2 linked regions of the Caenorhabditis elegans genome follow. The protein of the gene in region 1 interacts with the protein of each later gene in a pairwise test. Each region holds a gene or a part of one and is shown in the gene's direction. Other genes may lie near its edges.

The links. The genes of interacting proteins can lie anywhere in the genome.
Region 2: the proteins of idpb-4 (region 1) and F08G2.5 interact in a two-hybrid assay, tested with the Caenorhabditis elegans proteins (one large-scale study listed by BioGRID).

Annotation. Positions count from the first base shown.
Region 1 is NC_003280.10:8,735,029-8,739,866, reverse strand, and holds idpb-4 (Intrinsically Disordered Protein, class B), read left to right. Parts: upstream 1-2,310; 5' UTR 2,311-2,343; coding exon 2,344-2,403; intron 2,404-2,457; coding exon 2,458-2,666; intron 2,667-2,807; coding exon 2,808-3,033; 3' UTR 3,034-3,141; downstream 3,142-4,838.
Region 2 is NC_003280.10:13,831,796-13,836,605, reverse strand, and holds F08G2.5 (WW domain-containing protein), read left to right. Parts: upstream 1-2,974; coding exon 2,975-3,511; downstream 3,512-4,810. Other genes in the region: F08G2.7 (uncharacterized protein), read left to right, coding at 1-81, 139-207; ins-37 (INSulin related), read left to right, coding at 945-1,104, 1,157-1,494.

The DNA of each region.
Region 1 (4,838 bases):
GGTTTCAATGAAACGGACAACTAGTTTTGCTTTTTATACGATGTTGGTTAATAGATCATCAGCGTACATTTTCTTTCCCATGTCTCTATCGCTGAAGAAAAATATATTTCCTGTTTACAAAAATATATTTCAAACCAATATTGCAAACCAAATTTTGGGCGAGGTTTATTTTGAGCAATTTTGTGATCAAATACAAAATAATGTGCCAAATGAACTGAAATATCCTCATCCTTAATATTAAAATTTATTTGCTTTTTGAACCAATTTTCTAGTAAAATTCTACGTTCGTCAAAGAAAATATGAAACGTAAAGCACAAAGAACACTTGGCACATTTCGGACGTCAGCGGAAGTTTGCTCAAGGCACTGTTTTTTGTCAAGTCATGGATTTACAAAAAACAATGGCGGGAACGCGAACAGGAATGTCTTTGAAATACATGTTTAGTGTGGGAAAAAGTGAAGAGTGTGTCACAGGAAGAATTTTTGAATTTCGGGGAATATTTTCATGATCACTATCAGTTTATTTGTCTAGTTAAGATAAAAGTTTAGGTTTCTCATTTAGTTCGAGTTCTTCACTAATGTTCTACTTCTAGTTGATCTGAATCAAATATTGTGTTCTTGAAAGTCACGAGTGTGCACATCGAACTCCCATTTTGATAACATTTATTTTATGGGAATCACGAATATTTTTGAACTTTTATAGCCCTGTTTATGAGATGATAATATTAAAGATTCAATCAAAAGTTTACATATCAACAACACTATATTCTAGCATAAGAAGAAGACATAAGAAGAGTTTCTCAAATAAAAATCATTTTCTTATCATATTTTATATCCAGTTTTTATGATATTTACAACGAGTTCATCAAATCAATGATTGCACCTATCAAATTTTTAAAAAAGAAAAAGAATAACATGTTTATGAATGTTGCAGATTTTCATTGTTAGAAAGACAATGAAAATTACAGTATCGGACTGATTTTAGAACATTTGATAAAAAGTATGTTCATTGTACATTGTACCGTGATGTACTTTTTCAGTCATTATGCTTCATTAGATTTAAAATGCCCCACGAGAATTGAATTTTCAGTCTTTGTAGCCCATTTTTAGTCTAATGGAAAAAGTCCCAAAACTTTGCTACTCCACCTTTAATTTTAAAAACAATTTTTCCGAATATTCTTTTTTGAAATCTTCCAGATTTGTAATATATTCCAACAATACAGTTACAACATAAACATAAACATTTTTTGCAAGAATCTCAGAGACATCAACCAACATCCCCATTTTACAAGTGTTGTTTTTCTTTTCTTATCACAACACATCTCACCAACGATCAATGTCAATTTAACAAACCAATAGTAGTATTACATAGTGATAAGCGATTTTCGATGACCCAGCTCTATCATTTTGCTGTGTTTTGTTTTGTTTACTGATCGGCTGCTGATCAAAGGGCTTGAATATTCCGAAATGATCAACTGTCAACAAGATACGCAAACATAATTGTCTGAGAGCTTCTACTACATTCAAGTCAGGGCGTATCCTAGAAAAAACATAGAAGACTGGCATTGTGACGTCCCGGTCCTCAATCGGAATGTATCAATTATGAGACATCATCATCATTGCCAATTAAGTATGTCGGAGTTGGCATACATTTTATGTTGGCATACATTTTTACGTATCATCTCCATTTCACTATCACTGGCACTTCATTCATTTTTTTGTGTCTTCTGTCTCCTTGTCATATATCCATTCCAAAAACAAAAGTGTGACCTCCGGCGAGTCACCAAATGTGCAAAAAATGTACCTGTGGGCGGTAAATATGATAAAAATAGATGAGTACTTGACGGAAACAAACGAGTAAAGGTGCGAAGACACAAGTAGTTGATGAATGAAAACACAGTTTTTTTTGCACGGAAACAAGAGCTATCTTTGAGTGATTTGATCAGCTAACTATTGTACAAAGTGATTTCATTTTTTTGTAAGTCTGCGATTTGAGGTTGAGATGGGGTATCTTTTTAGACTAAAATGGAAGAAAGAAGCCGAACATCAGTTTAAAAAGAGAAAGATGGAAGCAATAGTTGTTGATGTTCCTACCTAAGAAAGTTCATTTCAAATAAACTAAATTCCAGTCAAGATCCAAGTGATCAACCATCACCAGTGGGTAGCAAAGTTGAGCAACATGCAAATTGTTTGAATTGATCGAGACATTTTGACAGTTTTCCGCGAGTGATTACGATTACGCAACATGTTGGCCAATATCCCTTCCGGAATGGCAATGAAGCCTGTATAAAAGTGAGGAAGAACTTTGGAAACTCACATCATTCTCATTAACTCCTAATCTTATAATGACTACTTCCACTCTTGCGATTCTCCTTGCCATCGGAACTTTTATTGCGGTTTCTCAAGTGAGAATTATTTTTCAATTACTTAATATCTTCTCAATTTTTCAATATTTCCAGGTTCAATCTGCGGTTCTTCCAGTATCATCGACTGAGTTGGCAACTGTTGGAACTGATGTTTCAACAGCTTCAACTGCCATCGACACTCTAGGAAATTCTAGCTCAAGAGTGAAAAGACAAGGAGGATGTGGGTGCTGCGGTTGTGGATGTGGATGTTGTGGATGCGGAGGAGGAGGTGGTGGATGTGGATGCTGCTGTTGTAGACCAAGGTACCCAGTTTTGGAAATACTTGAAGCTATAAAAAATTTTACCAGATTGAGCATATCATGGAATTTTTAAAAATGGAAATTCAATTTTATTATATAGTTTAATTTTATTAATATATAGTAAGCTTTAACTGAAACTTCTAGATGCTGCTGCTGCTGTCGCCGTTGCTGTACCTGCTGTAGAACTTGCTGCTGCACCAGATGCTGCACTTGCTGTCGTCCATGCTGTTGTGGATGTGGATGTGGATGTGGATGCTGTGGATGCGGAGGAGGAGGACGTAAGCGTCGTTCCCTCCAAAACCTCAGAATCGATGATGCTAACCGTGCTCTCGGAATCAAGAGAAAGTCCTCAAAGGCTGACAGATGTTAAATTCAGTTGATTCTTATTTATTTTTGGCACCCAGCTACTTAACTTATTACTAAAATTAGTAATATTTATCCCAATAATAATAATAATAATAAATTTGTGTTGTCCTTAGCTTTTACGGAATAATGGCAGGTGCAAATGGTTATGTTGACACCTTGGCGGCGCCAAATGCAAACACCCAATCAAAGCATTCTCCGAGAATCTAATTTAAACGTTACTTTTTTCGTTGGGTGGTTTTTTTACATTTCAGTTGCGAGGAAAATTTTTAAAAGAATTTTTAAGTCTTAAAAAAATATGATTGAATTTGCAATTCGCGTTTTGTAATTTTGGTATTGAAAAAAAACGCGGTTGTGCTGTGGGGGTAAACAAAACTGATGAAATTCCGAATTAAAGGCAAAAAATACGCAAAAAGGATTTCACTCTCAAATTAGGGTCTCCAGAAGTCGGTACCATTTGTTTATTTTTTGGACCTCTTTTCATGTTCTCGAGGGCATTCTAATTGGATTCACTGACTCTTGGCATCACTGGGGTCCTTCAAAAAGACCTCCTCTTCATTTTTTTTTTGTTTCTTCCCATTTTCTCAATGCTCACAGCAAAAATACACAAACACACACATGAGAGCAATATGAAATTTCATTATTATTCGATTTCCTAGATCTCTTTTTTGCGACTTTTCGTGTCTCTTTGACTCTTTTTTGTTTTATGTTTTTCATACTTAAAATAAAAAGATAGGAAACCAAAAGTATTATCTGATTCAGTTTTTTCAAAAGTAATTAAAACCATGTTGTTTCCAAATTTTGTAGTTTTGGGCCTCCGGACTAGATACTTTAAGGTGCCTTAACCCTCGTGGTACCGTTGTCTTTATTTTTCAACTTAGTAAAATCATGAAGAAATTGCAAAAAAATATCCGGAAAGTACACTTTTTTTTACTAGAGAAAGCCAAAACATGTTTGAATTCATTTTTTTTTGTTATCGGTCATTTTAAGCTTAATTTTAAAAGATCTAAATAAGTGGTTGAAATCGCAGTTGTGATTAATGACAAGGAAATTGAAGTAAAATAGGAAATAACCTGAATATTTCAAAAACAAGCCCTGCCCACATCTCGGATTAAAATCGTTATTGGAAAAGGTTCTATAAGTTTAGAATCATTGATTCATGTTTCTTGACTCTAAAAAGTATAAAAGAGATCATTTTCGGTTGAGTGAACTTGTCTTGATTCCAACATTTTGCTTCTTTAGTTTATTCTTCTTTTCTCACTCTTTTTACTCGTTTTGCACTTTATAGTTTTTATAGTTCTTTTTCAATATCTCTTTCCCTCCAGTCTCCGCACTTCTCTTTTGCATTGAATTTTATGAGCAGGTTGATGGTGTCGACTCGAAAAGGTTCCAGAGGTTCTAGTTTCAAGCCAAGAGAGGGCAGGCACCAACTGAATTCGTATTCAAAGCAGGAGAAGCTCATGTACGTGTTCCATCTTCTTTTTTTCTCGCTTTCCGTTCATCTTTCCTCCTCTTATTCATCTTCTCGTTTGGGATAACAACAACAAACACAACATTGACGCTTTCCGATTCCCGAGGGCACCACCACGGCGACATAAGTTATTTTTTCGAACAAAAAGAGAGAAAAAAGTCACAGATGTTTTTTCGGGAATTTCGTAGTACGCAAATAGACATTTTTGAGCATTTCCTGAATTTTGAGATTCGTTAACGTGATTTTCAGAAATTATTTTCAAAAGAAAACTTGTTCGTGAAGTGTATGTTAAAGTGAAGAGGTACTAGGTTTTGTTTGCAAGAAAGAACCGTTTTCAAGCT
Region 2 (4,810 bases), 5.1 Mb from region 1:
ACGAGCACACTGAAAAATGATGAAGAAGCTGCTGAGCTCTCGGATTTCCTGAGTAAATCCAATTTGACAACTCTTGAAGAGGTGAGTTTTGGTGGAAATTTAAAATTTTCCGCTTGAAACAATTATAATTACTTTCAGGGCAAGGACTCCGGCTTCAGCACGACTCCAGACGACGCCAAAGAGCCCGAAAAAGTTGCAGCTAATTAATAACGTTTCCCCAACAGTTTCTCCCCCCGATTACACGTGTAAAAATCCTATGGACTTTCGAAATTATTCACTTCACCGAGTTCTAATATTTAATTTATTGATTTTTCTTTGAACTTTTCATATTTTAATTAATTTATTATATAAAGATTTTTAATTAATTCAAAGACATACCTAATTGTCTTTCTTTTCTAGGCCACGAAACAAAGAGTGCTCCACGCGCACCCACGAGTTGTCGGTACACAGCTCCCCACTACCCCTACCCTCTCCTCCATTCAGTATCGCTTCTTCGGCTTATTAGCTAAGATCAAAGTGTAGTATCTGTTCTTATCGTATTAACCTACGGTATACACTCGAATGAGTGTAATAAAGGTTATATGATTTTTGGAACCTAGGGAAGACTCGGGGCTTGCTCCGACTTCCCAAGGGTCGTCCTGGCGTTGCACTGCTGCCGGGCTCGGCCCAGTCCCCGAGGGGACAAAATAAGCTTGCAGAATAGTGAAAAATCAATTTTCAAAAAATAAAGTATAGTTGTTAAATAGACATTCAATTTTAACTTGGCCTTTAAAAACTATAAGAAAAGTCACTCAACTTATTCCCAAATTGACACTCCACGTAAAAGACGTGACCCATAGGTCATAATTGTAAGCATTTCCCTCCCCCCCCCCCACTCAAAATCGAAAACAAAATAAGAATCATACCTCAACTCTCATCCCGAACCGGATAGACGATTGAACACCATGGCTGCTTTCCTGCCAATTGCCTTGAGCATTGCTATGCTCACCGTGCTCACCAATGCCAATCCAATTCACCCGGTCCCAAATGCGGCCTTCCTTCCCTATCGTTCCTGTGGATCCCATCTTGTTCATCGCGCTTTTGAAGCTTGCAGTGGGAAGAAAGGTATGTTATTATATCATTCTTAGCAGGTTAAAACCGAATCATCGCTTTTCAGATCGCAGCAGTGATGTGGATCTTTGGAAGATGTGCTGCAAGGACGAGTGTACCGATCTGGACATCAAGGAGTCTCTGTGCAAGTACGCTTCGCAAGGATATGGAGTAAAGTTTGAGGAGGAAGCCGAAGAAATCGATATGGTCAGCTTTGCGGCGGAGGGTTTTAAAAAGAGCTGTGGACATGATATTGTTGTGAAGACAGTCAATGTACCGACGAAAATATCATTGAAGCAATGTGCCCGAACAAGGGGGTGGCGCCGGCGGCGGCCTAGAAGAATCCCGGACAAGTTCAATCGAGTGCAAAACTATGCCTGTATTAATTGTGTAAAAATAAAGTAATGTATGTATAATATATGTGGATTTGAATTACTAGCGCAAAATTTTAACTGATTTCACAACTATTGCAAGTGCGCTCCATTGAAACGCCACTTATCAACACACCGTCGTCCACTTAACAGACCGTTGGTATATATACTCTGTTGATAGAAGGTTTTTTATCAGGCATAGGTCCGGAGTCGGTGGGTTATCTGAAGAAACCACCCCATCGGCAACAACTTGACTTCCTGTTTTGCATTGTTGGAATTTGGTGGGCAAGTTGATTAGAAAGAAACGTTTAATTTTAGTTAGGCATTTTTCAATTAAATTCGAAAAATAATAAAAATTACAGAAACAAAATAAGATTTCGTATATATAGGCTTGAAATGCAGATTTTTTAAAATAGATTTTTTCAAATCATTAGTCAATTTTTTACCCAAAAAATTACACCTTACATAAAGTTGTTTGACACAGTCTCCTAATTATCGAATTGCGGTGGAGCGCATTTTGTACACTACTAGAGACCCAGAGAAACCCACCACCATTCCTCGAGAAACGTCCACCGCTTGCATTGCCTCTAGTATATATACTTCCTCCTCCCCAACAGTTTTCGAATTCCTGCGGTCCGGATCGTATGGGTTATCAATTCTCAACCACCCCATACGAACTAACTTGACTACCGGAATTTTGCAATTTTTGATAAAAATTACTTGTTTTTGTAGTATGCAAATTAAATATAAAATTTATTATTATTTGTATTTTTTTAAAAATAAATTCGTGTGTCAATAATGAGTTTCTATTTTTGAAACTTTAAAGCACGACAAAGATGGGTCCTGCTGCGCAAAATACAATTTTAGGACGTTTTTTATATAAATTTATAGCATAAATTTTACTATAGAGATATAAGAGCTATGAATTCAAAAATGTTCTCCTTCTAGAGTTATGTAATTGCCCCAGTTTTGCCGGAAATTTCAATTCCGGCAATTTTACGATTTACCGGAAATTTCAATTCCGTCAATTTGCCGGTATGCCACAACTCCAATTCCGGCAATTTGATGATTTGTCGGAAATTTTAAATTTTGTCACTTTGCCGGTATGCCGAAAATGTCCAATTCCGGTAACTTTCAAGTTTGCCGGAAAATTTCAATTCCGCAATTTGCCGATTTGCCGGAAATTTTCAATTCCGGCAATTTTCCGATTTGCCGGAAAAAAAATTTGCAAAAAAATTTGCAAATTCCTTACTTTTTGACCTCTGAAAATTGCGGGAAACATAGACTTCTATGTACTTCCAGAAATGTTCTGTGTGACCCCAATTTTCGGAGATCAAACGGCAAGGAGTTCTCCTCAAATTTGGCAATACTACACACATATCGTCATCAATATTTGCCCACCTTATCAAAGTCATGACTAATTTCGAAACTCTTCGAAATAATTCGAAACTATTCGTCAACAAAACCCACCTATAAAACCAGCACCTCTCACCTTGAAGAGCATCTCATTTACAATGAGAAAGCTCAGCACTCGTCCACTTCCTCTTGGAGACGGATTCTTCGACTCGTCATCTGATAGTTCAGAATCTGAACTTTCAGATAAGGACGATGAAGATAGATATTCCGACTCCACGGTTTCCACGTTAACTTCTCAAGATCGTAGAGACACCCAAGGGTGTCAATATCCACGTTCTTCGGAACTTCCGATCTCTGAATCTCCAGCTCCACGAGCTCGACGAGCTCGTAAACAGAGATCGAAGAGAAAGTCGGTGAAACCTCCGAACACTTCGTCTGACGACTCTTCTGATGACTCTGATGATTCTTCCTCGTCCTCTTCTTCCGATGACTCGGTGAGTTCTAAATCATCAACCAATTCCAGTGACTCCTCGCCATGCCGTTGTCGAGATGGGCTTGCCGAGTGGGAGCAGCGTCATGGGAGACGATGGCATCCGTATGGAAGAAATGGAACGTGGGAACCATACCGCAATCGTCGTCGCGGGATCTATGATTGTGAGAACTCGCCGAGAGAAACTTATTCGAATGGAGCTTGAATTTTTAAATGTAAATATTTGTTTTTAGTTTAATTGTATTCTATTTCATTTTTGGTATCCTATATCTTGGTTTAAATAAGTGATATCGAAAAGTGTTCAACTACAAAATTATTGAAAAAGGCATCAGCAATATTTTGTTTGTTGGTAGTTTTTCGATAAATCTTAAAACAACCGGGATATGACCATTTAAGTGTGTTGTCTATTTATTGTTGTGTAAAAATAAATAATTTGTATTTTTCGAATTTGTGTTTTGTTCTTTATTATTAAATTAAAAAACCAAATAATAAGAAAGAGGTCATATAAAACTGTTGCCGGAATTAAAATTTCCGGCAAATCGGAAAATTGCGGGAATTGAAACTTCCGACAAATTGGAAAATTGCCTGAATTGAAATTTCTGGCAAATCGGCAAAATTGCCGGAGGATTGAAATTTCCGACTAATCAGAAAATTGCCGGAATTGAAATTTCCGGAAAATCGGTGAACCGGCAAAATTGAAAATTTCTGACAAATCGCCAAATTGCCGGAATTGAAATTTCCGGAAAATCGGTGAACCGGCAAAATTGAAAATTTCTGGCAAATCGCCAAATTGCCGGAATTGAAATTTCCGATAAATCAGCAAATTGCCGGAATTGAAGTTTCCGGAAAATCGGTAAACCGGCAAAATTGAAAATTTCTGACAAATCGCCAAATTGCCGGAATTGAAGTTTCCGGAAAATCGGTGAACCGGCAAAATTGAAAATTTCTGGCAAATCGCCAAATTGCCGGAATTGAAGTTTCCGATAAATCAGCAAATTGCCGGAATTGAAATTTCCGGAAAATCGGTAAACCGGCAAAATTGAAAGTTTCTGGTAGTTCGCCAAATTGCCGGAATTGAAATTTCCGGAAAATAGGCAAGTTGCCGGAATTGAAGTTACTGATAAATCAGCAAATTGCCGGAATTGAAATTTCCGATAAATCAGCAAATTGCCGGAATTGAAATTTCCGGAAAATCAGCGAATTGCCAGAATTGAAATTTCCGGAAAATAGGCAAGTTGCCGGAATTGAAATTTCTGATAAATCAGCAAATTGCCGGAATTGAAATTTCCGGAAAATAGGCAAGTTGCCGGAATTGAAATTTCTGATGAATCAGCAAATTGCCGGAATTGAAATTTCTGGCAAGTCGGTAAACCGGCAAATTGCCGATTTGCCGGAAAAACGGAAATTGTCGAAAATTTTCGGCAATTTGTGGTTTTGCACATTTTTTTAAATTTCAGAACTTCAATTTCAGCCGGCAAAATTTTACGCATCCTGTAAATGTTCC